Linked DNA regions of Pelodiscus sinensis. The protein of the gene in region 3 interacts with the protein of the main gene of each other region in a pairwise test. Links are inferred from orthologs where the notes say so. Each region holds a gene or a part of one and is shown on either strand. Other genes may lie near its edges. The genes, in order: FAM161A, KIF5B, zinc finger and BTB domain-containing protein 8A and ZGPAT.

The links.
Region 1: the proteins of zinc finger and BTB domain-containing protein 8A (region 3) and FAM161A interact in binary tests that used the Homo sapiens proteins (3 or more experiments, as listed by UniProt). The two-hybrid records come from large-scale screens. The link is inferred for Pelodiscus sinensis from reciprocal best matches to the Homo sapiens genes ZBTB8A and FAM161A.
Region 2: the proteins of zinc finger and BTB domain-containing protein 8A (region 3) and KIF5B interact in binary tests that used the Homo sapiens proteins (3 or more experiments, as listed by UniProt). The two-hybrid records come from large-scale screens. The link is inferred for Pelodiscus sinensis from reciprocal best matches to the Homo sapiens genes ZBTB8A and KIF5B.
Region 4: the proteins of zinc finger and BTB domain-containing protein 8A (region 3) and ZGPAT interact in binary tests that used the Homo sapiens proteins (3 or more experiments, as listed by UniProt). The two-hybrid records come from large-scale screens. The link is inferred for Pelodiscus sinensis from reciprocal best matches to the Homo sapiens genes ZBTB8A and ZGPAT.

The regions. Positions count from the first base shown.
Region 1 is NC_134713.1:180,771,386-180,778,747, forward strand, and holds the start of FAM161A (protein FAM161A), read right to left. Parts: upstream 3,013-7,362; 5' UTR 2,976-3,012; coding exon 2,847-2,975; intron 1-2,846. Other genes in the region: CCT4 (T-complex protein 1 subunit delta), read right to left, coding at 5,384-5,398, 5,724-5,837, 6,869-7,103, 7,224-7,354. UniProt on the Homo sapiens protein: Involved in ciliogenesis.
Region 2 is NC_134712.1:229,673,549-229,680,602, forward strand, and holds the start of KIF5B (kinesin-1 heavy chain), read right to left. Parts: upstream 3,005-7,054; 5' UTR 2,786-3,004; coding exon 2,660-2,785; intron 2,509-2,659; exon of another isoform or gene 2,352-2,508; intron 1-2,351. UniProt on the Homo sapiens protein: Microtubule-dependent motor required for normal distribution of mitochondria and lysosomes. Can induce formation of neurite-like membrane protrusions in non-neuronal cells in a ZFYVE27-dependent manner.
Region 3 is NC_134735.1:3,441,625-3,449,486, reverse strand, and holds the start of zinc finger and BTB domain-containing protein 8A, read left to right. Parts: upstream 1-4,851; 5' UTR 4,852-4,986; intron 4,987-5,978; 5' UTR 5,979-6,031; coding exon 6,032-6,971; intron 6,972-7,862. UniProt on the Homo sapiens protein: May be involved in transcriptional regulation.
Region 4 is NC_134728.1:3,544,737-3,551,823, forward strand, and holds the start of ZGPAT (zinc finger CCCH-type with G patch domain-containing protein), read left to right. Parts: upstream 1-4,073; 5' UTR 4,074-4,297; intron 4,298-6,480; 5' UTR 6,481-6,643; coding exon 6,644-7,087. Other genes in the region: ARFRP1 (ADP-ribosylation factor-related protein 1), read right to left, coding at 1,416-1,508. UniProt on the Homo sapiens protein: Transcription repressor that specifically binds the 5'-GGAG[GA]A[GA]A-3' consensus sequence. Represses transcription by recruiting the chromatin multiprotein complex NuRD to target promoters.

The DNA.
Region 1 (7,362 bases), on a different chromosome or scaffold from region 3:
ACCAGTGATACTATCACCCTAATAGTAATTTTACCATATTGAGCAGTATCAAAAGCCTTATTAAAATCAGCATGTATCACATCTACAGCATTCCCTATCCCAGTAACCCCGTCAAAGGAGGAAAATAGGTTGATTTAGTATTATTTGGCATGATTGACTTGGCAAATTATGTTTATTCATGCTATTATTTATTACTCTATGTCAGCTAGATGCTTACACACTGATTGTTTAATAATTTGTTCCAGTATCTTTCTAGGTATTGAAGTTAGGCTGACTGGTCTATAATTCCTCTTTGTTCCCCTTTTTAAAGATATGGGGTATATTTGCCTGTTAGTCATCTGGGACTCTCCTGTCCTTCATGAGTTAAGATAATCACTAATGTTTTCAAGTCTGCTTCTGCTAGTTCCTTAAGTACCCTAAGATGAATTTCATCAGGCCCTGCTATCTAAATATTCCTTAACCCTGTTTTTACTTGTGTTCCTTTCCCCTTATTATATTAATAAACTGTTTGATTTACTAATAAATTAAGCTTTATACAGGCAGTCCCCGGGTTATGTACAAGATAGGGACTGTAGGTTTGTTCTTAAGTTGAATTTGTATGTAAATCGGAACTGGCGTCCAGATTCAGCCACTGGTTGAAACTGACCAGCGGCTGACTACAGGAAGCCCAAGGCAGAGCTGCTCTGCCCCGGGCTTCCTGGAATCAGCCGCTGATCAGTTTCAACAGTGGCTGAATCTGGATGCCTGGGACAGAGCAGCTGGGGCGCTGCCGGATTGGTCCCCGCAGCACCACACCTTGGCGTTGCGGGGACCAACCCGGCAGCGCCCCAGCTGCTCTACCCCAGGCATCGGCGAGAAAAGCCTGGTCTGCTGGGGAGGGGGGGGGGGGGGGGCGCACTAGCTGCGCTCCCCACCCACAGCAGACCAGGGAGAGACGGAGCAGTTTTTCTCACTGCAGAGGACGCGGGCGGCGGTCCTGCCGCCCACATCCTCCGTGGCGAGAAAAGCCCTGTTCGTATGTAGGGATCCACGTAACTCAGGGACTGCGTATAGTGATGATGGAAGCAACATAGGCCTTAAACAGGGCAGTCTTCTTCAAATCATCCATTACTAGTTTTCCTTCCCCCCCCCCCAAGTATCAAACCTACATTTTCCATTGTCTTTCTCTTGCTCCTAACACATTTGTAGAACCTCTTTTATGTTCCTTGCTAGGTATATCTCATTTTGTGCTTTAGCCTTTCTGATTTCATAGCCACTCATTTACTGTTCTTTTGTACTCACCCTTAGTAATTTCTCTCCATTTTTGTAGGATTACTTTTTACTTCATCTTCAAACCCCTTCTGTTAGTGCCTAGTGCATCACATTCAAGCTCTTTGTTCTCATTCTCATCACGCTACATAATCTTACTCTCATCTACATGTCTTTTCCCATTTACTCCTATTTCTACCTTTCAGTATGCTAAACTCAGCACCACCTCTTGCTTTAAAGCTGTCCCCTTCATTCTTACCTTCACACCTTTCAACATCTCTTCCCTGAACTTGAAACTACACTCCGCTTTCTACCCCTCTTTAAAACACATTTTTACAGGAATCATTCCTATATTCTCATCAATAATCTCCTTTATCTCTTACAGCTCTTGTAGCATCTTGTTTTAAAAAGGCAGACTTGGAACACGGGTGTCCTTATATATCAGAAAATACTTCACCACATGCCAAAGTATTTCCTTAAGAGACAAAACTTATATTACTTTTAGTTTTAAAATCTCACTTGAAGACAGAATTAAAAATACATCATTAATCCAGAGACTAATCTTCAGAAGATCATCTTACCCTATTTAAAATGTAAACCCAGTGTGTTTTGTTCCTTAGCATTATTGCAGTTGCCACAAGGAATATCATAGCAACATATTGGGGGTGAGGGAGGATCAGACTGGTAGCAGTCTTCTGGAATTTTCACCTTCCTCCACAGTGTGGGATGCAAGTTGCCTGCTAGGATCATCTTTGTGCAGCTTTCAATCAATTTCCTGCCATTCCAAGGGCCTCAGGCATTGGTGGACATTGGTTCCTCCTGTTCTCTGCCTGTGGCGCACAGTGGTCAGTCTCCTGGAAGCTGAAATACCTTAGACTAATTTTGGTAGTGGCATTTAGCATGCAGGGCGGTGCTGGTGCCCTGTGTTTACAGGAGGTCAGTCAGATCTGGTGACCCTTTCTGGCTGGAAAAGCAGCCATCTGTCTACTAAATCCTAGTTCTCCTAGCAGGTTGGGACAGTCACTGGACTTGATGGAACTCCATAAAGCACAGCATCAAAGCCATGAAAAGGTTAGCAGGAGCTAGGCAGCCTAGGAGAATGCCACCGGTTCCACGTTTTCTAATGCATTGCCTCCCTTATACAACAGAGACATTACTTGACATAATAGCGATCAGATGCTCACAGACTTTCACCCCCATGGGCAGCAGATATAAGAGGCAGGGAAAGGCATTGCCTTCTCAAACGGCCACGCATGGTCCCACCCACACTCCGCCCCCTGCTTCAGCATGGCTGCCAGGCTTCAGCTGTGCCGAAGTGGGGATTAGCGGTACCTATCACCCTTACTGGGTAATGCTGACCGGTCCCCGTTAACCGGTGGGGGCTGGAGCGGCTCCCTACGGCTAAGCCCCAGCGATGTGCGGGGCGCAGGAGCCCCCCCCTCGCCCTGCGAGAGCGCCCCACGGCCGGAGCCGCCAGCCCCCGGCTCAGGCGGGGGGGGAGGCTCCCGCGCAAGGGGAGCGGGATGTCGCTGCCCTCACCCGGGGGGCGAGCGGCGCAGGAGACACGGCCCGGGCTCCCCGCCCCGCCCCCGCGGTACCTGCTGCTCCACGGCGGCCGCTGGGCGCCTCTCCCGCTCGTACAGAGCCACCGGCGCCCTGGTGCGCGGGTTCACGGGCGTCCTGAGGCAGGAGGCGGTGAGGAGCGCAGCGCGGTGCGCCGCGTCCATACTCCGCGGGCAGCGGCTGGCTCGGCCGCCGCCTCTGGCTCCCAGCTACAGCGGTTACCGGGGACGCTACGGCACGTCTACTAGGACAAACCTATGCGGACTGCGAGTCAAGCCCCAAGCTGAGACTCCGCCCTCCTAGAGCCCTTCCGGACCGCGGCGCGACGGGAAGTTCGGGGACCCCGGAGTGCGGAGATTCCTGCCCCGCTGTTGGGGAGGAGGGGGCTGTCAGTCCTCCCTTCTGAGAGTTGCTGCGCCTTTCTGCTCAGGCTGTTCCCAGGAAGGCTGGATGCACACCCCGCGCCAAGTTAGCTTCCTCGATCAGTTCAGCGTAAGGGTAATTCAGTGCTAGATGGGCTGGAACCACAGCCGATGGGCAGATGTATCTTTGTCAGAGTGCTTCGAGTCTCCACTCGATATGCTTGCAATGGTTTTGTGCCACTTCTGCTGCTCAAGCTATGATTAGTGACAGAAGGTGCTACCCTCTCCCTTCCCAAACCCCCTAGGGATAAAGCAAGTGTATTTCAGCCAACTTTCATTGAACTGAAACATGGGAACGTCACCCCAGGGGAAGAGCTTGGGCCATCCCAGTTGGGGGAGTTAATTGGCCAGAGACCAACTGAGTAGTTCTTAGAACAGGGGTGAGCAAGATGCATCGGGTGAATCAGTCCACCCCTACAGCATAGGACACCCAAAGCAGCAAGCTGCTCCTTGTTCCTTCACTGGGGGGAATGGGAAGAGGCTTCCCCTGGTGCCCCACAGTCAGCAAAATCTCTCTGCCCGTTTGCCAAAAATCCACCAAAGGGAGCTAAGAGATTTTGCTGGAGGGAGTAGAAGCGCATGAACTCCTCCATCCCCCGCCCACATCACAGAGCCACATGGAACAGAAGGCATTTAGGGTTGTTGCCAAGCACTGAAGCTTGTTTGGAGCAGTCACCTGTCCAGTAGCTGTTTGCATAAGCACTTGCTAGCAAGAGCCTGCCTTTGGCACCCCACCCCCTCCAATGCCCCTATTATCTCCCAGACTCTGCACACTCTGCTACACTCCCAGAATGTATCTTTAACCCCTCCTGGAGCCTACACCCCAATGCACTGGACCAGGTCACAACCTCCTCCTTCACCCAAACTTCCTCAGATCCCACCCCCTTTCCTGCACCCAAGTGGCCTGCTCCTGAACTCCCTTCTACTCTCAATCAGTAGCCAAGACCTCACTGTCTCCCCCCACACCTAGAAAAGTGTGACCTTGACTACTTACCAAAAGCTTGGAGTCTCCCCCTCCACCAAAAATTATCCCTAAACTACATACAAAGATGTTAATATTAAGTCTTGGATTGCAAAGATCTGTAAAGTCAGCATAAGATCTATTTTGGCAGCATATTTCCTTAAGGCCCAAATATGAAATATCTAAAACTGTATTTACAAAATTAGATCAGCTTCAATCCTGTAATAGGGTGCTTGGCATGTTTATTACCAACCTCGTGTGACAACTAATGACCAAATACTAGAATGTGATCCTGAAACATAACTTACAAAATCTCAACTAATAAGTATTTCCATTTGCAGTTAATGAAGGAAACTTCAGCAATTAAAGGCTAGAAGCCTTTGTCCTGGGTAGCTGAAGTACAATGAAATGTATTAAAGGTGTGTTGGCTGAGAGACAAGACATTGGCATATAGGCATTAATGGACAAGGAAACATTTGCAGAAAGAAATGTACACTTTAAATTACAGGGCAAAGTACAGTCCTATAGTTGCCATGCACCATAGTGGCTGTAACAACTCCTTGGGTAGGAGAGGAAGGATGAACTATTGTTTTGGATGAATTTTGCAAAAACAGGTCTGAGGTAGTACAGTTATTACTAAGATTCCATAGTAAGAGATTCAGAGGGGTAGCTGAATTAGTCTGCAACAGGAAGAAAAACCAGATAGTCTAGTAGCACCTTAAAGACTAACAAAACACATAGATGGTATCATGAGCTTTAGTGTCCACAAAAGCTCATACCATCTACGTGTTTTGTTAGTCTTTAAAAGGTGCTACTAGACTATCCATCATTTACGTTTTTCCACAGCAAGAGAATTATTTCAAAAGGACAGATTTCAGAAGCTAAATTTAGATATCAAAATAGGTTCACGTAGTGAGAAAGAAAGTATATGATTAACAACAGCAAAACTAGCAAAATGTTAGTATCATTTGGTGAGTTTTTAATGCAGATTTTCAATTATAGAACATTGTCTTTCACTTATGAACTAAGTTTGTCTCGAGAGCAGAGAATTTATTAAATTAAGTTGATAAAAGTACATAAACGTAAATGAATTTTAGCAGAATGCTTGACACACGGATTCTTTGAAGAAACCATACTCCAGACTACACCGTAGATACTCTGGGCTGTACTGCCATTTCCTTTAGTCATCTTAGCGAGTGTTCACCTGCAAAGATGAGTTAACATGATCAGATTATGTGGATGGGAAACAATCATCAATATCCCTCATCTTAAAGCGATCACTTCATACATAATCCTTTTGTATCCTGTGCTTTAATCTGGCCTGCTGTGTTAACTAATACTTGGTTTTGAGTACTGTTTTCCCATAAGACTGGTTTCATTTTTAACAGTTATCAGGAAACTGCTGAATTACATGGAAAGGGCATATAACTATTCACTTTAAATATGAATCCTTTACACAAGGGATATACCTTGTTCATGTCACTGTACTGCAACATTAACAGAACATGATAATAAAAAACATTACTTACCACATCATCAATCTTAAGAATACTGCGGACAGTTTCTGTAGCTAGTGTCAGAGCACTGACAGACACCAACAGAGGCTGGACCACCAGCTCCTCCAGGATATTGGAAATTCCACCCTACAAAACAAGAATTATAGCCTCAGCAGTATAAAGCAAACAACAAATTTGATTTTAACATACCTGTAAATTATCCCCAGTAGCCTCCTATCTAGCATAATTTTAAAAAGAGAAAACAAATACCTTATCAGCAAATAACCATACACAGTTCATTTGAACGCACTCACGTCACAACAGCTGAGTGAGCAGGTATTTTACCCGGTGGCTACATCTGATGCTCTCGCATCCAAACATGTTTCATTTTCAAAAAATTAATGTCTCTAGTTCTTATGGCTGAAGAGAGAACTACTGAGACTAGCATCTCACAGGTTGTTTTCCAGCCATCTTTGCTAGTTAAAAATGTATTTGGCTGCTAAAAGTCTCAGGTGCACTCTAACTCACCTTCCTTACTCACACTACAGGATTTTTAGAGTGCACCTGAGATTTTAGCAGCCAAATATATTTAAACTAGCAAGATGACCGAAAAATAGGATTGCTAACATATGGAAAATTGAGGTTTTGGGAACAAAACATTGTCCCATTTAGAACAAAATATAAACTTGAAATTTCTCATGGGACAAATTCTGAAAAATCTCATTTCAGGAGAAGCAAAATAATTTTTTTAGTTTGTTGTCTGTCCATCTGAAAGATGATGAAGAGAGGCACTCAGGCTACACAGGAGACGGTGCAGTGGGCTGCTCTGCCTCCCTGCAGATTCTAGGTAGCCTGCACAGAAGTCATAATTTCAGTTTCTCAACCAAATGGAACTTTTCAGTTGGAATATTAATATTTGCAAAAAGGGCACTTTCAATCAAAAAAAGTCTGATAAGATTCCTAACCATGTCTACAACTAGTCAGTTTTAAAAGCAGTTTTTAAAAGCAGTTCTCAGACCATGAAAATTGTTATATTGCAATGATATGCAAGGTTGATTGAGGAGGGTTTTGGGCTACAAGTTGGGCAACCTTTGTCTGTCTTTATTCTCAAGTATATTCCATCAAAAGGATCAAACTGTTTAACTGACCATCATTCATATAATCCTTTTGTATCTTACCTTTCTGACATTAATGCCTGCTGTTTTCTCTCCTTGAGCATGTCTGTTTCTCAGCTCTGTTACCGTAGAAATAGGGTTAAGACCTGCATTTTCAGCCAGTGTAGATGGGATGACTTCCATTGCATCTCCATATGCACGGACACAGTATGAGTCCATACCACTCAAAGTACGAGCATACTCATTCAAGCGAAATGCTAACTCTATCTCTGGTGCTCCACCTCCTGCAATTAGAGCTCTGAGGGGGAAAAAGTAAAATTCTGTTAAAAATACAAGCTGTGGTCTTTGACAAACATTTAAGTGCTTACAGTTTACTGTATGATTTGTGTATGAAGCCACTATATGAAGAAAGCATTACCTTTTTTTTACTAAACAACGTATGACACACAGAGCATCATGAATTGAACGCTCAGCTTCTTCCATAACTAGCTTGTTGGATCCACGTACAACAATTGTAACGGTTTTTCCAGGGCTTGCACAGCCTGTTACCTAGAACA
Region 2 (7,054 bases), on a different chromosome or scaffold from region 3:
TACAGCTGCATATCAAATTTAGTGATGCTAGCTCTTAGCATTAGGAGTTCTTGAACAAAAAGAACTCTCAAACTAAATTTTATCTCAGAGAATGTTTTGGAATCTTGCCATATCTCAGGAGCAAAGCAAAAATGCTTAATGATGGGAATTCCAACATATTCACTGTAAAGAGCATTTGTTTCCAGTCCCAGTGGTTGGACTAACAGTGAGATAAGACTTAAAAGACTGTCACTGGTATCAAATCCCTATGACTACTGAATGTTTTACATTGGGCCATCACTATTGCAGAAGCATAAGGTTATTAAAGTAGTAATTACAATGCATGTTAATTCCTTACCAACTGTCAACTGTCCCCACCTGGTCCCTAAGGAGAATGACTAATTCACCTCACACTTACTTAGTGAGTGGCTAGCCCAACTCAGATGTTATTTTGCAATCTTACTAGAAAAGCAAACCCCACACTATTGTGATGTTTTCTTCATTACCCAGGAAAAATTCTAGCTTTTGCTTTGGCGGTAAAAAGTTGTCAAGAACAAAACAATCAGCTTTTTTTCCCAGTTTGTAAAAGGCGGCTACCTACACTACATGGGTAATGTTTCCGAGTGTCCACTTCAAATTTTCTCACTTTTATTATATGAAATCTAAACCATGAATCCTCCCCATGAATATCAAGCCCCTGCCCTATTAGCAATGATGCCCTTTGGTCCAAAAGGTAGTTTCCAGAAGGTTAGAGAATTGGGAATTAATAGACAGTTTATCACCTAGAAAATTATATACATCTCAGGAACGGACCTTACAACTTTTGATTTCAGAGGGGACAACATGGTGTTTGTATGAATGGATACTCAGAACCAGTGCTGGCCAAGATGTGGCCCGGAGCCAATTGAGCCCACCTAACATTTTGACCCAGCCCACAGACTGTGTGTGGATGCTTTCTATTTATATTCTGCTGCCTGTGCTACCGAATTTCCAGGCAGAGGCTCACGCGGCAGGATCCTATTTAAAATGGATCACGGCTATAGTGCTACCCCAGCAGGGACTGGAGCAGTGAGCCCTTTAAATAGCCACAGCAAGCCTGGGCAGCTGTCAGGCAATGTGGTAACAGCAGGGCTGGGAACTGTGAGCCCTTTGCAGTGATTTTAATTTAAAGTCTCTGGCCCCAGACAACTCTGGGGAAAAGGTAGTCCCGAGCTCTGTCCCTTCTGCCCCAATCTCTACCCTTGGGGTGAAGCCGGCCTGTGATCACATACCAAAATTCATTAAGTGCCCCCCCCCAGCGAAAATTATTGACCATCCCTGCTCTGGACCAAGCATGAGAGTTAGTGTACTTACTCTGATAGTGACATCAGCTTAGTCATATTCTGCATTTGCTAACAGTCTAGCTAAATGATGAACAAGGCTTCTGTGAAACAATGAGAATTAATGAGGTCTGCAGCACCAATCTGATCTTGAATGGGCCAACAGCTCATTTCAGGAGCATTCTGTTTACTTTTCAGTGGCCTACTCACTACCAACCTGAACTGCATTTATATCAGAAACAGCAAAAGGTTGCATATTCCATTAGCAATGCATTAGTTTTTCCTAAAACTGAATTTAAGAAATACTTTAAAGCCTTGTACTATAAATATGAAATTTTCTAACAAGTTTTATTTACTGTTATGTATTTGTTCCAGTTCCAGGTTAAGCTGCTATGAATAACTGTTTAATTTGGGTTGCTTCAAAAAGATAATAGTGTGCAGAATCTGAAATCTAAACAAACATCAGTAAAGTATATTTTAAAGTTATATTCCTCTCTAAATGCAGAATTCTGATTCCATGTAGCAAATTATTCATCTGAATGTGCAGATTAAGAATGTGTGAAACATGAAAAAAATCTCTCTCTGTGCAACCCATTTATCAACAAATACCAATGAAACCACAGAAGACAGTTACTATAAGTGAAATAGAGAGTTAAACCATAAAGTTAATAACTCATTCTACAGCAGCTGCATTACAAACTGGCACTGCTGGAATTATCTTTTTCAGGATACCAACCAAATCTCTTTGCATCAAGCTTCTATTTTGCAGTAAGCAATTTTTATTAAATTAAAATTATAATTGTGTGTGAAAAAAACAAAGGCATAATTTGACTATTTTATTGGGCAAAGTATTAGCCACTAACCCACTGGTTGGTGGACTGATCACAAAACACACTCAATAGATTTTATTTTGCCAAAACTATTCAGTGGGCAAGTTACTCTGGTAATGTCTCTCTTAGGCATTACCTTAGTTGCCAACCTTAATTAGGTTACATAAAAAAGTCTAGTTCTTTTGAACATTTTCTTCTGTCCCCATTCACCGTATGGTCTTACCTCACTTCAAAACTACCACGTAAAGTCATGCCCAAAGTTTCTAGCGCTGTCAGTAGCTCTACAAGAGGTCTGTGAGGCAGGGAGGTTTTGCTTAGGAGGCAGTTTTATAAGTTCATACACACCGCCCGGCCAACCCCTGCGCCTGTCCTGCTCGTTCTTCTGCCCTGTCACACCCCCACGAAGCTGCTCCCCTTGTCTGGCCCCCTCAGCTCCTCCAGCTCCCCATCCCCTCCTCCGAGCCCTCCCCCTTCGTACCGCGCCCATCCCCAGGGTATCCGGCCCCCTCCCCAGCCCGCCCCGGCGCTCACCGCGATGATGACGGTGTCCTCTCCCTGGAACTTGGTGATGTCTTTGTCGCCGCGGTTCCGCTCGGAGTCGTTGAGGGGCCTGAAGCGACACATCACTTTGATGTTACATTCCGCCGGGTCCGCCATCTTAGGCCAACGCCGCCGCCTCCGGGGCGCTTAGCCCGGCCGCCGCTGCCTCCGCGCCGCTCACTCCGGGGTCCTGCGAGCGGCCGCCGCCGGCAGAGCAGCGCCTCGCTGAGCAAAGGGCAGAGGGGAAGGGCTCCTGCCTGGCCGCCGCTGCCGCCTACTGTTCTCACTTCCTCCCCAATATGGCAGCCATGGCGGCGCCTGCAGCCGGCGAGTCCAGGCCCTGCCCTCCCCTGGCAGAAGCAGCCTCGACAGCAAGGCAGAGAGGGGGTGACGTCACTCGCCGCAGAGAACACCTACCCCTCCCCGCCTCAAATTCACCACGCAGGCGCGCATCGAGGACAGCGCCGCGGCAGCAACCGAAGAGCTGCATTGCGCAAGCGCTCACTGTGTAGGGCGGGAGGAGATGAAAACATGGTCACTGCCGTATGCAAAAATCTCCTGCGCAGGCGCACAAGTTGTCTTTGGGCGCCGCTGTAGCGCAGACGCAGTCATTGGGTGAAGGAGGCCGACGGGGGGAGGCATGTGGAGGGCATGATCGGAAGTCGCAGCAGCAGCGGGGGGCGCCCTTCCTTCAGGGGCAGGGAGTTGGGGAGCAAGCGACAGGGAGGTGCTGCTAGCGGAGCATTCACAAGGCGCTGAGCCTATCAGGGCTACCCTCTCTGTAGCTGAGTCGACCCTCAAAGGCTTCCCCCAGCAGGCACCCTCCTTTCAAAATACACCCCAGGGCTCTGTTTTGTGTCATTGTTTTTAGCATCACAAAATGACATTAAGCCATGGCTTTCAGAGATCACAGATCCACCCAGCTATGCCTCTGCCATCTAAATGAAACCTTGGGCATTGGTGTCACATGAAGAGTCCCTGTGGTTTTCTATCAGTTCAAAATAATTTTCCTCTGAAATTGTGATCGGAAGCCTTAAGTTATGTGGCTTCTGGACAAATTAAATTAATAAACAGCAGGTTTAAAACAAACAAAAGGAAGTTTTTCTTCATGCAGTTCACAGTCAACCTGGGGAACTCCTTGCCAGAGGAAGTGGTGAAGACTAAGACTTTAACAGTGCAGCAGGCACACAAGAATTCTTGGAGCATCTGAACTCGCACAGTTTGGTGGCAGGCATGATAAGGGGCCTACCAGGGCACCATCTTGAAGGCAGGAAGGAGAACAGGGTTCATTCATGGCAGTGGGGCGGGGCAGCAGTTCATGCCAATTCCCTCCTTTTTGTCTGGCTCAACCTGCTTGCCAGAAGAGTATTATTTTTCGCCTTCCTGCAAGAGCCCGCAGGCGGGAGGACTAGAGGAGGGGCCGAAGCCTCCTCAAGAGCTGCAGCCGTGCTTCACCGGGGATGGGCAAATGGAGGTTAGTAGCAAAAGCAGCAGCTAATAGCTTCTCCTCCTTCATCCAGGTTGCCATGTGAGATATCAGTCTTCTCTGAATTACACACAGAGATAAGGAGCTGATGCTGACTAAATGCGGTCAACAACCTAGTTCTTACGCTGCAATGCTTTGTGCTGCAATGCCACCGGACCACTTTCTGGTTGTGTGGCATAGGAACGTGCCCTACCATGAAGTATGGAATAAGGCTGGCCTCCCCAGAAACTTTGTGAGACGGATTAAAGACTTAACTGTACAAGAGTTTTCTGGAGCTGTGCAGGGGAGATTCCCACTCCATCTCCGGACATGTTAAGAATCTGTTCCAGGTTCACCCCACTGTGTAGGCACGGAGCACAGCCAATTGCTTTAATCTGCTGGTAGCAAATAAAAAATGTGAACTCATTGGAAAGGTCCTCCTTTACATCAGTGCCTGACTGTGAGATGTCCCGGGAGGAAGGGATTATCTCTAAGGTTATAAAAAGTTCTTGGTTCTTGGTCACATCAACTACCCACTTGCTTGCTGACCATTCTTCTCCTCCTTGCTGTCTTCCACACTGCTACCCTGATGAGTGTCTTGGGAGGATTCCATGGTCTGGTTTGGGATGCTGATTGGGTCTCCACCAGTGTCAAATACAGCTGCTTGTAGAAGCGACATGTTTGCAGCGATGCCCCAGACCATTCGTTTTCCTCCTTTGTCTTGTGCTCAGCTTCTTTATTTTCACACAGCACTGCTGGGCATCCCTGGTGTATCTTTTCTCCACCATGGAGTTGCATACTTCGCATAGATATCTGTGCTACATATGCTGGTTCAGAGCTTCACGAGAATTGATTCCTCTCCCCATGCATCTCTGAAGTCCAAGATCTCCTTCATGCTCCATGCTGGTACTCATCTGCACAAATGAGAATTGAAGCTCATGAAACTTGAACTCATGGAACTCATGCCCAAGTATGCTGCCTGCTCTGAGATCTGCTTGCCATGCTGTCCACACAGGAAATTAAATTCAGAGTTTCCCAGGGATTTTTCTGTTCACCTGAAGAGTGATAGAGTCACAAGCCCTGACCAGAGCCATTACAGTGGGATGCCTCCAAGAGGCCAAGAACATCTACTTTTACAATGCTGGGACTACACTACAGTAAAGTTGACCATGCAAGGTTGAATTTAGAATTACTCTTCATGAAAAGCAGGAGTACCAAAATTGACTTTAGTAACTCTTAAAGTTGAAGAAACGGGCTTGGCAGTGTGGACTCATTGTTTAGAAAATTTCCTTATGCAACTAAATTCCACCTAAACTCCTAGGCTACGTCTACATTGCTGACTTGCCGGCAGTGCCTATACAAATGAAGCATGAATTAGCATATCACCGTGCTTCATTTGCATAATTTATTTAAGCCTTTTTTGCACAAAACCCCTTTTTGCGCAAGATTCTTATACTTCTCCTAGAATGGCATAAGGATCTTGCTCAAAACAGGGTTTTTGCAAAAAAAAAACCCTGTCCACACTGCTTGTTTTTGTGCAAAAACCCTTTGCACAAAAAGGGTTGAACAAATTATGCAAATGAGGCACGGAGATATGCTAATCTGCGCTTTATTTGCATAGGCACAGCCAGCAAAGCCAGCAGTATAGACAAAGCCCTAGTGTAGACCAGTCCTCAGGAAATGAAGACAGAGTTGTGTGTGAAACAGGTTGTGACTGCCAGATGTGAGAGTAGAGTACAGGTCTGGGGGAGCAGCAGAAACTGGTTAGGGCGCCAGTACTGAGGGACCCAATGAGAGGCATTAACTGAACCTTGCCTGCAAACCTGGAAGTTCCTATTTGCTTGAATGAAATCTGGAGTGGAGCAGGGCTAAAGAGCCTTGACTTCTTCAAGTGGACCGCCCCAGTGACCCAACCAAAAACTGTTGTTCATTTTGAATGGTAACTGTTCAAGCCTCTGTAGCTAGGGTATTTGCAAACTGCGGCTTTCCTGCCAGCCCTTTTCACGTAGCCATGTGTCTGAGTGGTTATGGGGACTCACTAGGGTAATGTCTATAAGGTCTAGTTGCTGAAGAACCTACAATACTTGCCTCAGAATAGCAGTGTGTGTGTGCATGCAACTGGTACCCTAAGGTTTGGTGCACTCAGACACTGAGCAGTCCCAATAATTGTGCTAGCCCATCCTAGGTCATGTAACTGGGAATTATTCTAAATATTACCAATTATCCCAGTGTATCCACAGCTGTTTCTCAGTTTAATACATGACATAATTTGTTAAAATCTAGTTCTGTGTTGTGAGGCAAGTTTGCAGTCTTCTCAATCAAGATCATGTTGTAACAAGCCCATCCTTCTGCTCTAGTTGAAACCTTTGCAGGAACATACCGTCTTAATCAGGACAGTAACAGCTACACCTCCCAGACACGTAAGTACTCTATGCAATAATTATTATTCACAGGGTGTGAATACAGTCAAATGGGGCACAAGGCTTGATGCAGTAACTGTTCCCCTTTGTCAGGGAGTAAGGGGAAAGTGCTGCATTCCTCACTGTGGCTGGGGAGCACAGGGGCAGATGAATCTGGACCTGCCCCAGCTGGAGGACATGCACCCCTCTCCCAGCTGTGCCAACTGGAGCTGCAGCAGTCATGGAGAGGCACTTCTCACCTGGCCCCCAAGCTGCTTCTGTGAGAGGAGTCTGGGGGTAGTCTTCACTCCCCGGGGCAGCCTCATCACCACCCCCACCCCAGAGCAATGGTTTAAATGGAGCATATACATTTCCGTTTTATTTTCCAAAAAGCACAAATAATTGAATTAAGGACCCAAGCAATGCTAGGTAAATCGTCTAGTTTCTAAATAAAAGAGCCTGTTTATGTTTGTTTATAATTTCAGAACTGTGATTAGTTACTTAAACATAAACCATCCACAT
Region 3 (7,862 bases):
TTGCACACATTCTAAGGGTTATTATTCCTGTTCATATTTTTTCATTGGATACATTTTTCATCCAGAACTATGGAATGAGAATTAAAAAATTCTTCCATTGTGAAGCAGAAAGAGAATTGTGTCACTCAAACTGCTCTGTAGCCAAGGGCACCATTAAACTTTTCTTATGTTCTGTATTTTGAAAGAATTGCAGTATAAGCATATGGCACTTATATTTTCTTAGTTTGGAAAAAATCTGTTACAACTCATCCATCAAATTTTATCTTTCAAATAAATGAATGTGTGTTCATGTGTGTCTTCCTTATTACAGCAATTTGTTTTGTATATTAGCTGCAGAACTTTTCTTTAGCAAACACATAACATTTAAAGAAAAAAAATACTGTATTTGAGTTCTTGGATTTTCAAGACAAATATATTTTATACATGTCTGAGATCTTTTAGCATTTTCTGGTATTCATTCTAGTTTTATATCTAAGTGAAACCAAGAAAGACACACTTTGTAAAATGTATGCTAATTATTAGCATCTTAATGAAGAGAAGGAGATTTCAATCTCCTTTTTCTAGAGCCAGTTTACAAGATAAGACTATTTGTCTGGTTTCTGAGCTACTGGTTTTGATGCAATAGTTCCACCCCTAGAAGAGACCTTCCTACCAATCATCCAACGCCAACTCCTGCAGACTCAAAAAGTGAGAAACATGAGACCTAGGACTAAATAAAGAAGCTATAGAAACTAAAACCTGCATGGTGCCCATTGAAAAAAATTATGTACAAAGAACAAATATCTTCTTTGCAAGAAGTGCACCAGTCCAGGTAATCATCAAGTGATCCCACCCCGTTACCATTCCCAGCCTCTGACAAACAGAGGCTAGAGACACCTTCCCTGCCCATCCTTGATAATAGCCATTGATGGACCTATCCTTCATGAATTTATCTAGGTTTTTTTTAACCCTGTTAAAGTCCTGGTCTTCACAACATCCTCTGGCAAGAAGTTCCACAGGTTGACTATGTTGCGTGAATAAATACTTCATAGAATCATAGAGCTGGAAGAGACCTCAGGAGGTCATCAAGTCCAGCCCCCTGTCCAAAGCAGGACTAATCCTAACTAAATCAACCCAGTCAGTGCTTTGTCAAGCCGAGACTTAAAAACCTCTAGGGATGGAGATTCCATCACCTCCCTAGATAACTCATTCCAGTACTTCACCACCCTCCTAATGAAATAGTTTTTCCTAATCTCCAACCTAGACCTCTCCCATTGTAACTTGAGACCATTGCTCCTTGTTCTGTCATCTGTCACTACTGTGAACAGCCTCTTTCCATCCTCTTTGGAACCTCCCTTCAGGAAACTGAAGGCTGCTCTCAAATCCCCCCTCACTCTTCTGCAGACTAAACAAACCCAAATCCCTCAGCCTAACCTCATAGGTCATATGCTCCAGCCCCCTAACCATTTTGGTTGCCCTCCGCTGGACCCTCTCCAATGCGTCCACATCCTTTCTATGGGGAGGAGGGGGGCAGAACTGGACACAATACTCCAGGTGTGGCCTCACCAGAGCTGAATAAAGGGGAATAATCACTTCTCTAGATCTGCTGACAATGCTGCTCCTAATGCACCCAATATGGCATTAGCCTTCTTGGCTACAAGGGCGCACTGCTGACTCATATCCAGCTTCTCATCCACTGTAATCCCCAGGTCCTTTTCTGCAGAACTGCTACTTAGCTATTCGGTCCCCAGCCTGTAACAATGCTGGGGATTCTTTCATCCCAAGTGCAGGACTCTACACTTGTCCTTGTTGAACCTCATGAGATTTCTTTTGGCCCAATCCTCTAATCTGTCTAGGTCACTCTGGACCCTATCCCTGCCCTCCAGCGTATCTATCTCTCCTGCTAGCTTAGTGTCAAGTGCAAACTTGCTGAGGGTGCAATCCATCCCCTCATCCCGGTCATTAATAAAAATGTTGAACAAAACTGGTCCTAGAACAGATCCTTGGGATACTCCGCTAGAAACTGACAGCCAACCTGACATCGACTTCATTTGTTTTAAACCTGCTATCTATTTATTTCATTTGGTGACAGCTAGTTCTTGTGTTATGGGAACAAGTAAATAACTTTTCCTTATTCGCTTTCTCTACATCCGCCATGATTTTATAGACCTCTATCATATCCCCCATTAGTCTCTTCTTTTCTAAGCTAAAAAGTCTCAATCTTTTTAATCTGTCTTCTCACACATGTAAAGTAACATTCCTGTAATTTTATCCAAAGTAAAACGATGGGATATTATCTTCCAGAACATCGATTTTGTTCTCTATTGTCACTGTTTCACAGGAATGTCTGGCTACTAGGACAAATGTAGGCTGTGGTTCTGAAAAACCTAAGCATATGCTTAACTTCAAGAACCTTTGTAGACCTGCTGAACTCATAGGAAGCAAGTCTTTGTAGGATCAGGTCTGTGGTTAGAAAATAAAAACAATATTTATTAATTCTGAATGAAAATGTTATAGCAATTATTCCTCAGATTATTGCCTAATAAAATAGATACACTGTTAATACATGTTGTATTTAAGAATGCATAAAGCTGCAAGTAATAAAAACATTTAACTTCAAAGGAGAAAATATTACATTCTATTACATACCAATCACATATCCATGCCATTGCCCTCTGTGAAACAAAGTTCCTAGATGAAATATTTCTCCAATGTAGTTTCTACTCATATGACAAATGCCATTCTCTTTTAGACCTAAATTTAACCATGTCCCACTCTAATCTGCCATTCATTCATTTGAATTATAAATTTAGAACGGCACACTACAGAATCAGGAAACTGAAGTTGTGGAAGACAGTAGCTTCCAGTCCGACTGTTTTGTGTCTATCTTTCTTTTTGGCACTTGCAGATTCATTATAGATTATTTCTGACCTTTCAGGGAAGATTCGTATTCTTCAGTCTTCACTCTGTTACAATCCCCCCACTCCTGCAATTTGAGTAAATGTGAGCTGTTTTGACTAAGGACTGCAGGATTTGCCCTATGTTACACAGTTAGCCGCTAATTCATTTTGAAGCAGTGCAAAAGCACAGAGAGAAATTTGTGATGATGATACTCATCTAAGTACTTGGTGTTAGTTTATTTACCACAAATGAAGAATTATGTCTCCTTTTGTCAACAGCTCTCCATTTACACATAAATACAGGGACTCACAAACCAGTACTCTTAAGGGCGGAGTTGGCAACTTCAGGTTGTGTTTTGTTAGATACAAACAGAATGTGCTCTGTAGAATTTGGTGTATAATTTTGTAAACAAGGATTACACCCCTATGTGCGGTATATATGTACAGTCTGTGTATCTGTTCTCTGACAAACCAAACAACATAAAATCTGGCCCTTTTTGCAGGCAGCTAATGCATTTATTTCATGTATAAAATCATAATTGTTTTATTGTATTGTATCATGGCAGGTAAGGAACTGGGGCATCCTGTCAACCCAGGGTGTGCTCAGTTAAGTGTGAAAAGGAAGGAAGGAAGCATCCTATACTCTTTTGATGTCTCAGAGGGGTAGCTGTATAATCTGTAACTTTAAAAACAAGGAGTAGCAGTAGAAGGGGACGTCTACGCAGCAGCGTTATTTCGGAATAACTGATGTGATTTCAAAATAACAAAATATGCGTCTACACCACAAGCCGTTATTTCAAAATAAGGCGAGCTGGAGGACTTCTTACTCTGCCTCCTGTAACCCTCATTTCAGGAGGAGTAAGGGAAATCAGAGGAAGAGTGTTCTTCCTTCGACATCCTGCTGTGGAGACAGAGCCAAAAGCCAAATTACATTATTTCAACTTCAGCTATGCAGTTGACATAACTGAAGCTGCATGGTTTAATTCGACTTTTGCCCTGCTGCGTAGACATACCCTTCAATACTAACAAAATATATATAGTATCGTGAGCTATATGAGGAAGTGGGTTTTGCCCATGAAAGCTCAGGATACTATACATATATTTTTGTTAGTCTCGAAGGTGCTACAGGAATACTCTTCAAGCATCCAGGAAGGATGTCAAGTGGAGCATGCAAGGGGTGATAAAGGACTGGAGCTCAAAATGCCACTGAAGAGCAAGTCCCCCATTGAAGTCTTCCATTGAAGAGCACAAGGTTAGCCAGGCTGGGTAGGAATGGTTCCCCTTACCTCTGTCAGGCTGGAAATGGGTGAGAGGAGAGGGCTCACTTGATGCTTACCTAAAAAACAACAACGAATGTTCCTATGGCGTGAGACTACCCAAAAAATATAGATAGTATCATGAACTTTGTACCCACGAAAGCTCATGATTCGATCTGTATTTCTGGTTAGTCGCTAAGGGGCTACAAGGCCATTGTTTTTTTAGTTACAGACTAACACAGCCACCCCTCTGAGAGTTTTGACAATCCTGTTCTGTCCGCTGCATGACACTGGCCACCCTCCACAGACAGGACAGGGTGCTACATGGACCTTTGGTCTGACCCAGAGTGGCCATTCAGTCAGGGGGAGAAAGAAATGGGACACCAGGGCCTACATGATACAATCTGAAGGGGTTGAGAACAACTTGAGGGCTTAGCCCGGCCTTGAAGGGAAAGTGGGTGAGAGTCAGGCCCGGGCTTGGCGTGAGACACAAGGATGTGGGGCATCGAAGGCCCCACTGTGCAGCAAGGTGCGGGAGGAAGCGGCTCGGGCTGGAGAGGGCTGCAGGGGAGGAGGGGGAGCAGAGGGAAATGCAGCCCCTACCGCCAGGCGCGCAGCGGAAGCTGCTGGGCTGCGCCTGCAATCGGTGCGTTGCCCCTTTAATTGTGTCCCCAGCCCTCGGGCGTCTCTGTCCGACGCCCACGTCAGCAAATCCCTTTTGTTTCTCTCCCGTTCGGGCTTCCGCGGGCTGGGGCGGCGGGACCCGCCAGCTGCATCCGAGCCACCGAGCGCCCCGCGCCGGGCTTTGGGGGATCCCGCACCCACCTCCCGCTCCGCCCGGAGCCCGGCCGGTAAGTGGCGGCCCCGCAGCCGGCGGGCCGGACTGGGCGTTGCGGGCTGGGAGCGGGCCCCGCAGCCAGCCGCTTGCACGGGGCGGTGGGGCGCTGCCGCCGGCTGCCTTGCGCGCAGGGGGCTGGGGCCCTGACGCGGCCACCCCCGGGGCCCCGCTGCTCTCGGGGGCCGCCTCTTCGCCCCGGAGCCAGCGGCGTCTGCAGAGACCTCGGCGGGCGCCATTTGCAGCCCGAGGCGCGGCTGCGAGGGGCCGGCAACAAAGGGCTGGCTGGGGAGCGGGGCGGCGGGGAGCCGGGCGAAGGGGGCCGGGGGGTGCGAGGCGGGCAGCAGCCGCGGCGGGGCTGCACAAAGGGGGAGAGAGGCGGGAGCCGGATGGACACACGCCAGCGGGTGCAGGCGCGCCCTGCAAGCGGGCACTGTCCGCCCGGCTGGTGTCCCCGGGCGCATGGCGCAGCGGCCGGCTGGTGTCCCCGGGCGCATGGCGCAGCGGCCGGCTGGTGTCCCCGGGCGCATGGCGCAGCGGCCGGCTGGGGGGCGCAGCTCCGCCGAGCCTCTCTCGGGCGCTGGTGGCCCGGCCGCTAGGGGAGCGGAGGAGGAAAGCGGCCGGCCCCGCCTGCCGCGGTCTCTCCCTCGCTAGGCGCTGCCCCCTGCGCTGGGCGGGCGTGTCTGGCGCCGTCGGGCGCCCCTGGCTCCCGCGGGGGGAAGGACCAATTCGGGCTGGACGCGCGCGCTGAGTGGCGGCGCCCTCCGCCAATGTCCCGGTGCGGGGAGCTGGTGTCCAGGGCGAGTTGTGCGCGGCTGCTTCTCTCCGCCGCCTCGGTCCCCTCTGCCCAGAGGATGCGGCGTGGAGTCAGGGCTGCGCCTCCCCTCTCTGGGCTCTTGTGGGTTTGAGAACGAATGGGCTCTTAAAAACACACCTGGTTTTGGAATTGGTGGCAGCCCCTCTGGTTTACATGCAGCCTGTCACGCTTGCAACTGTTCTTTATTGCAGAGCAAGGCTTCCTGCTTGCCCCCCTGCCCCCTCTTTTTTTTTTTTTTTTTGGAATGGAGATTTCTTCCCATCAGTTTCACCTCCTGCAGCAACTCAATGAGCAGCGCAAGCAAGACTTGTTCTGTGACTGCTGTATCCTGGTGGAGGGGAAGGTCTTCAAAGCCCATCGCAATGTGCTGTTTGCCACTAGTGGTTATTTCAAAATGCTCCTTTCCCAGAGCTCAAAGGATCCGAGTCAGCCAACCACTGCTACCTTCCAGGCCTTTTCTCCTGACACGTTTACAGTTATTCTGGATTTTGTGTATTCTGGCAAACTTTCCCTCACTGGCCACAATGTGATTGAGGTCATGTCGGCTGCCAGCTATCTTCAGATGACTGACGTTATTAGTGTGTGTAAGACGTTCATCAAGTCCTCCCTGGACATCAGTGAGAAGGAGAAGGATCGGTATTTCAGCCTGTCAGACAAAGATGTGAACTCCAATGGCGTGGAACGCTCCTGCTTGTATGGGGCTGACTGGAGAACGGAAAACAGCCCCCCTCATTCTCACTTAAACCCTGATCAAGGGACTTGCGTGATGAGTGGCAATGCTTGGAGCAATTTCAGCTACTATCCAGCTTCGCAGAGAAATGCGCAGCAGCAGTTGGCCAAACATGACCAAAGGCAGGAGTCCATCAAAAAGACTAGACATTTGGGATTGCAACAATCCTCCGACGTTCCCCATTATAAGTCAAGCAAGCTTGAAGACCGATCCGCAGACCCTCCTAGCCACCTTTCTCCATCTGAGGAGGAAGTCCAAATTGACACAGAAATTGACTCTGCCCATGCTGGGTACCAGTATGGTCAGGGGTCCGAGGTGATGCCAAGGAGCTTGGTTGTTACACAGCAAGAACACGAATCACCCCATTCTTCTAGCAAGTCAAAGTCCTCAAAAGCCGATGAGCAGTATGGCAACATACCCTCAATTTTAGGTGTAATGGGGAGCTGGGCTGAAGGTAAGAGTTGGTCATTTGTACCTCTCTCCTCATTTTCTTTCAAAGATGATGTTTGAATTTTTACTGGGTGAAAGTTGCAATGGAAAACATGTATCACCAGCTCTGTCGATGGGGAAAAATATCTGACTGTGTCCAAAAGGCAGGGGGAGGGAATATGTTCAGCTGCATTGCCTACAAATGCAGGATTGGAAAATAATATTCCCTAAGTGGTCCAATTCTGTAATGGCATGAACGGTACCTCTCTACTGTAAGTCACCAAGTTCTGAATTGGTTTCTCAAGCTTTGGAAGGATTCCAAAATGAGGTGAGTGTCATAGAATTAGAGCTCTCACTTTTTCCTCTCCCGCTTTAATTCCATTAACCCCTGTGCCGTTAGGTAGACACAGAAACACAAAATCATGCATTGAAGGTATTTAGCAAACCATTGGGACCCTGGGGTAGGTTCTCAGCAAGGGTAAATCTTTAGCTCTGTTGATTTGTACTCCTTTTTATTTCTGCAGTATCTTTTTGGAGATATGGTGTCCAGAACTGAATACACTATTCCAAGGGAGAGTGTACCAGCTGATGGTATTAGCTCTTCATAGTAGTTTTCAATCCTTTCCTTTTTACATTGTAATACTTGTGGTGTTTTACCATTGTTGCATGCTGAGCAGAAGTCTTTGCGGAGCTGTCCACAAGGATCCTCAGGATGTAGAGCAGTCAGGTGCATACATAATTCCATCGTATGAACTATGAGCTGTTTATGGAAAAGAAACTGAGTAGCTGTTTTTTAGCCAAAGTTCTCTCTTTAGTACAGAGAATATCCGAGACTACTCTTTCAAGTTGGAACCAAAGTGGGCTTTTTTTTTCCCCTATAAAAGGAATATAGGATCTTATTAAGTTCTTATAGAAG
Region 4 (7,087 bases), on a different chromosome or scaffold from region 3:
AGCAGCTGACTTGGGGACGCCTGGGGCAGAGCAGCTGGGGTGCTGCTGGGTTGGTCCAGTAGCGTCGCCGCTCCTCGGCGCTACTGGACCAACCCAGCAGCACCCAAGCTGCTCTGCCCCAGGCGTCCTGATTCAGCCGCTGCTGAAACTGACCAGCAGCAGCTGAATCAGGACGCCTGGGGCAGAGCAGCTGGGGTGCTGCCGGGTTGGTCCAGTAGCACCCAGAGCGGCGCTACGGGACCAACCGGCAGCATCCCAGCTGCTGTACCACAGGCGTCCGGAGCAAAGCCGCGGAGCACGGGGGCAGCGGGACAGCCCAGATGCGCCGTGGCTGTCCTGCTGCCCTTGGGCTCCACGGCTTTGCTCTGCTTTGCTCCCCGTCTCCCTGGTCTGCAGACCAGGGGGACGGGGAGCAAAGCCGCGGAACACGCGTCTGGGCTGTCCGCTGCCCGCGTGTTCCGCGGCTTTGCTCCCCGTCCCCCTGGTCTGCAGACCAGGGAGACGGGGAGCAAAGCAGAACAAAGCCGCGGAGCATGCGGGCAGCGGACAGCCCAGACGTGTCTGGGCTGTCCGCTGCCCGCGTGCTCCGCCGCTTTGCTCCCCGTCCTCCTGGTCTGCTGGAGACCAGGGAGACGGGCCCCGTTCGTAACTGCGGATCCGACATAAGTCGGATCCGCGTAACTCGGGGACTGCCTGTATTGTGTTTAGTTCTGGACACCGCATTTCAAAAAAGATGGAGAAATTGGAGAGGGTCCAGAAAAGAGCAACGAGAATGATTAAAAGTCTAGAGAACATGACCTATGAGGGAAGGCTGAAGGAACTGGGTTTGTTTAGTTTAGAAGAGAGACGATTGAGGGGGGACATGATAGCACTTTTCAGATATTTAAAAGGGTGTCATAAGGAGGAGGGAGAAAACTTGTTCATCTTGGCCTCTGAGGATAGAGCAAGAAGCAATGGGCTTAAACTGCAGCAAGGGAGGTTTAGGTTGGACATTAGGAAAAAGTTCCTAACTGTCAGAGTGGTCAAACACTGGAATAAATTGCCCAGGGAGGTTGTGGAATCTCCATCTGTGGAGATATTTAAGAGTAGGTTAGATAAATGTCTATCACGGATGGTCTAGACAGTATTTGGTCCTGCCATGAGGGCAGGGGACTGGACTCGATGACCCCTCGAGGTCCCTTCCAGTCCTAGTATTCTATGATTCTATGATTCTGTGCTTAATGAAGCCCATACAACTGTGTGTCTGCAGGCTTACTGTACTAAAATCAGATAGGCAGGATCAAATTCAGACCTGGGGTAACACTGCTGAAATACCGAAGTGACAGCAGGGAATAAATTGGCCTGTGCTGGTTTGGGAAGAAGTGAATGGAGCTGTGTGTGCTCCTCCATGCTAATGGGCTACTAAAAGCACATACCGTTTTCCCCGCATTGTCCAGCCCAAGGATCAAAATGCAGTACTCATCCCTACGGAACATGTACTTATATAGTCCAGACAGCAGCGTATACATCCTGCTCCTGCAACAAATATCAAGATGTCATCAGCAAAGGAGTTTTCCCCGAAGCCTCTTTTTCAACTGTATAATTCTGTTCAACTACCAGATAACAATACAATTTTATATATATATAGCATTTCTCCCCATGGGGGATCCCAGAGCCAGTTACGAACTCTAGGAGACTGACTTTTAAAAGAAATGAAGGCCAGATTTTCAAGTGTTCAGACTCAACACTTGGGTGTGGATTTTCAAAGAACTCAGCTCTTGTTTAGGCACTTAAATAGGGCCAGATTTTGGAACATGCTCAGCCCCTGGCAGCTTCTATCACTATACTCATGGCCAGATTTTCAGCACAGCTCAACCACTAGCATACACCCTTTATGCTGACCATTTCTGAAAATCTAATCACTTATTTTGGTAACTACATGGGAGCTTGTGAGTATTTGTCTAGATAGCTCCCTGAAATGTAGGTGCAAAGGAAGATAACAGCCAGATGCACAGTAGCTGCACATGTCCAGAAAGGAGTTATCGGGACTAATGCAGAAGGCAACCCAGTGGCTGTGTCTAGACTGGCAAGTTTTTCTGCAAAAGCAGTTGCTTTTGCGGAAAAACTTGCCCACTGTCTACACTGGCCTCTTGAATTTCCACAAGAACACTGACTTCCTACTGTCTGAAATCAGTGCTTCTTGCGGAAATACTATGCTGCTCCCATTCGGGCAAAAGGGCCAGTGTAGACAGCTCAGATTTGTTTTGCACAAAAAAGCCTCAATTGCGAAAATGGCGATCAGGGCTTTTTTGCGGAAAAGAGCATCTAGATTGGCACGGACGCGTTTCCGCAAAAAGTGCTTTTGTGGAAAAGCGTCCGTGCCAATCTAGATGCTCTTTTTCTCAAATGCTTTTAACGGAAAACTTTTCCGTTAAAAGCATTTGCGGAAAATCATGCCAGTCTAGACGTAGCCAGTGTCTGTTGAGATGTACCAACGCAGCCTTAAAGCTCTCACTGAACAGAAAGGACCTACGTTTTAAAAGCATATGCAGTTTTTTGTGAGAATTTGAACATTCCTCAGTAGAACCTCCTCTTGCAGTGTCTCTAGTATATGCACTGCTGCCTCACCAGGCATGAGGACCAGTGAAAGTGACTAGTCAGTAACCTGAGTGAGGGTAGTCGATTCAGACCAGACAGCTGGGCTGCTGTACAAACAAGCTCCCTTTCATAGGGTTTGCATAGCACAGATGCACACATGCACTTTGCCCAACTGAGGCAAAGTTCACTTGAAGCTTATGAATGGGATTATATTAGGTGCTAGCCTGTGACCTTCCCTTCCACACCTGGGGGGCACTGATCCCTCCTGGGAGGTAGAGGATTATGGGTGACACCTGCAGCAGTCTGAGGGAGACGCAGCCCTGGAGGCTGGAGCCTCCCAGCATGTTTTGGGTGCAACCTGGATCCTCCCCCCCCACCACCACAACCCACAATGTGCAAGGGCAGCCTGTGGCACCCACAGTCCCAGCTCGCAAAGCTTCCCTGTAAACGAGGGACAAGCTGCTCCGCCAGCCTGGGCAGCACCACCTGCAACTGGGACCAGGAGCCCCTGCGAGTCGCTTGGCTAGAACAGAGGTCGACTCCCCACCAAAGGCAGCGACACCTCATCTCCGGAGCCCAAAGCCTGGGGCAGGACCCAGGGATCAACCCCCCCAACCCTGGGACCCCCAGCTCCGGCCGCACGGCTGGGGCCCGCCCCATAGACCCACCTCGGACCCCCAGCTCCGGCCCCACGGCTGGGGCCCGCCCCATAGACCCACCTCGGACCCCCAGCTCCGGCCCCACGGCTGGGGCCCGCCCCATAGACCCACCTCGGACCCCCAGCTCCGGCCCCACGGCTGGGGCCCGCCCCATAGACCCACCTCGGACCCCCAGCTCCGGCTGCACAGGTGGGGCCCGCCCCATAGACCCACCTCGGACCCCCAGCTCCGGCCGCACCGCTGGGGCCCGCCCCATAGACCCACCTCGGACCCCCAGCTCCGGCCCCACCGCTGGGGCCCGCCCATAGACCCACCTCGGACCCCCAGCTCCGGCCGCACCGCTGGGGCCCGCCCCATAGACCCACCTCGGACCCCCAGCTCCGGCCCCACGGCTGGGGCCCGCCCCATAGACCCACCTCGGACCCCCAGCTCCGGCCCCACCTCTCCCCGCCCCCCGGGCTGCACAGCGGGGGCCAGGCCCAGACACGCCCCCTCCCGCTCGGCCCAGGCCGGGGGGCCCCCCCGCGGGCAGGGGGAGCCCGGCGAGCCGGTGACTGGGGGGGCTGCAGGCTCCGCCCACCCGCGGAGCTGGGGGACAGTGATGGCCCCGCCCCCTACCTGGGTGACGGGTCTCGACGGCTCCTGCCACTCAGCCGCCCCGCGACTCCCGCTGCAGCTCGAATCGGCTCCCCCCTCCCCCCGCGGCCGCCTCCTACCCCCCACTGGGTGGGCAGCTGTCTCCGCCCCGTGCCCGCGGGGCACCCTGGGAAGCGTAGTTCCTCCGGCGCCAGGGACTCGGAAGGGGAAGGCCTCTTGGACCACCGCTCCCAGAATGCTCAGCGCGCCCAGCCGCGGGAGGCGTCCTCGCTTCAGCCCGCCGGAAACACCATTGGAGGAGGAGCTGGAGGACTGGCCCGCCCAAGATGGCGACGGAGCCGGAAGTCGACTCTAGCCGGAAGCCGGGTGGTGTCTATGGTGTGGCCTGTTCCGGGAGGCGGAAGCCATGGCAATGGAGAGAGTCATGGCGGCTGCGCTGGCTTAGCGGGAGCGGGCGGCCTGAGGTAAGGGAGGGGCCGCGGGGGCAATGGAGGTAACCGTTCCCCTGGGGTCTCCATGGCGACTGAGGGGAGTAGCCCCTCCCCCCGCCGCTGGGGGAGCTGCTGTGTCTCACATGGGGGGAGGGGTCGCCTTGGCTGGGGAGGGGTTAGATCACGTGAGGCGGTTGGGAGTTATTCTCCCCCCCCCCGGTTGCTATGGCTGGGGAGGTGCTGGGCCCCCTCCATGGGGACTCTTGACCCCCCCCTCATGAGGGATTTTCAGCTTCCCTCTGCCCCATTGAATGTGAGGCAGGGGGCGGCAAAGGGGGCAGCCCCTGGATCCTGCAGAGCGGGGGGGGGCAGAGGAAAGGTGCGGGTTGGGCGCAGCCCAGGGGTCTTTGCCTCCACTTTCACAGCAGGTTTAATGCCGCCTGCGTGGGAGGCAACGTGAGCAGAAAGATGTAAGAACAACCAGACTGGTCCATCCAGCCCAGTGTCCTGCCCACAGTGGCCAATTCCAGGTGCCCCAGAGGGAGGGATCACAACAGGGAATCCTCATGTGATCCCTCCCCTGTCACCTATTTCCAGACAAACAGAGGCTGGGGACACCATTCCTACCCATCCTGGCTAATAGCCACTGGTGGACCTAACTGCCATGAATTTATCTAACTCTTTTTTCAACCCTGTTAAAGTCCTAGCTTTCACCACATCCTCTAGCAAGGAGTTCCACAGCTTGACTGTGCAATGAGTGAAGAAAAACGTCCTTTTATTTGTTTTAAACCTGCTGCCTATTAATTTCACTTGGTGACCCTTAGTTCTTATATTTGGGGAGCAAGTAAATAACTTTTCCTTGTTCACATTTTCCACACCTGTCATGATTTTATAGACCTCTATCATATCTCCCTTTAGTTTCCTATTTTCTAAACTGAAAAGTCTGTCTTTTTAATCTCTCTTCAGATGGGACCCGTTCCAAACCCCTCATCATTTTTCTTGCCCTTTTCTTTACCTTTTCCAATGCCAATATATCTTTTTTCAGATGAGGCGACCACATCTGTATATAGTATTCAAGATGTGGGCGTACCATGATTTTATATAGAGGCAATAAGATATTTTCTGTCTTATTTTCTAACCCTTTTTAAATGATTCCTAACATTCTATTTGCTTTTTTGTCTGCTGCTGTACACTGAGTGGATGTTTTCAGAAAACTATCCACAATGACTCCAAGATCTCTCTCCTGAGTAGTTGTAGCTAAATTAGTTCCCATCATATCGTATGTGTAGTTGGGATTATTTTTTCCAATGTGCATTACTTTACATTTATCAACGTTATATTTAATTTGCCATTTTGTTGCCCAATCACTCAGTTTGGTGAGATCTTTTTGAAGCTCTTCACAGTCTGCTTTGGTCTTAACTATCCTGAGCAGTTTGGTATCATCTGCAAATTTTGCCACCTCACTGTTTACCCCTTTCTCTAAATCATTTATAAATACAGGCAGTCCCCAGGTTACATGGATCCGACTTACATCGGATCCCTACTTACAAACGGGGTGAGGCAACCCCGCACTAGCTGCTTCCTCCCAGCAGACCAGGGAGACGCGAAGCTAGCGCGCCCCCCCCCCTCCCCAGCAGACCAGGGAGATGCGGAGCGGCTTTTCTCAGCAGACACCTCAGCTTGAGAATAAAGGACTGAGGGAAGTGAGGTGTGGGAGAATAAAACTGAGCTCTGGAGAAATGTTTGGCTAGAGTTTCCTCTACAATATGTACCAGTTCCGACTTACATACAAATTCAACTTAAGAACAAACCTACAGTCCCTATCTTGTACGTAACCCGGGGACTGCCTGTAAGTTGAATAGGATTGGTCCCAGGACAGACCCTTGGGGACCCCACTTGTTACTAGTTATAATTAAAGAGGAGGTAGGGAGTGGTAGTGTTGTGTCATGGGACTGCAAGTTTAAAGGGACAGAAAAGTAAGGCTGATGTTATTCGCATGTCCTAGTTAATCATGGTTGAATTCTGAGGTAAGTTAAAAGCTTAACAGTTTTTCAAGTGCGATATCAACGGGGCAGGTTGAATGTACATGACACGAGCCATGTGTGTATAATGATATACGGTGGTAGCTGTTTGCATTACAGATATCTATTCAATTAGGATGGCTATCCTTGTGACTGCTTTCTCTAATGAAGCTTTATAATATTTGTTCCCTGCAGTGTTTTTCATCTGGTTGCAGCAAAGGGAAGAACACAAGACTACTGCAGAGATTGACAGCTAGTTTGGACAGAGACTCCATATTTCACATTTCTGTCCAGTAAATACTTGAGTATTTACCAAGTTCCCAGACAGGAATCAGCGAAACAGCTCTTTGCAATAACAATGGATGAAGAGAGTCTGGAAGCAGCAATTCAAACCTATAAAGCCCAGTTGCAACAAGTAGAGCTGGCTTTAGGGGCAGGGCTCGATCCATCACAGCAATCTGACTTGATCCAATTGCAGGAAGATTTGAAGCAATTGATAGAACTGACTGAATCCAGCCTGGTGTCAGTGAAAAAGAGCAAACTGCTGGCCAATTTAGACACCGATGGACCCTCCATTTCTCCAGCAGGTTCCCTAAAACAGGACAGTAATTCTGGCAGGTCCTGCAATGATGATGAGTATGATGCTTTTAAGGAAGCTATTGCTGAACTTGGTGGTGAGGACAAGCAGTTGTGTACTAAAGACATGGCCTCTCCAGAACAAGATGGAGAGGATGATGGGGGAAATGAATTGAAGTACAGTGACGAGGAGGAAGCGTCTGAGGAAGAGGAGGAGGAAGTGAGT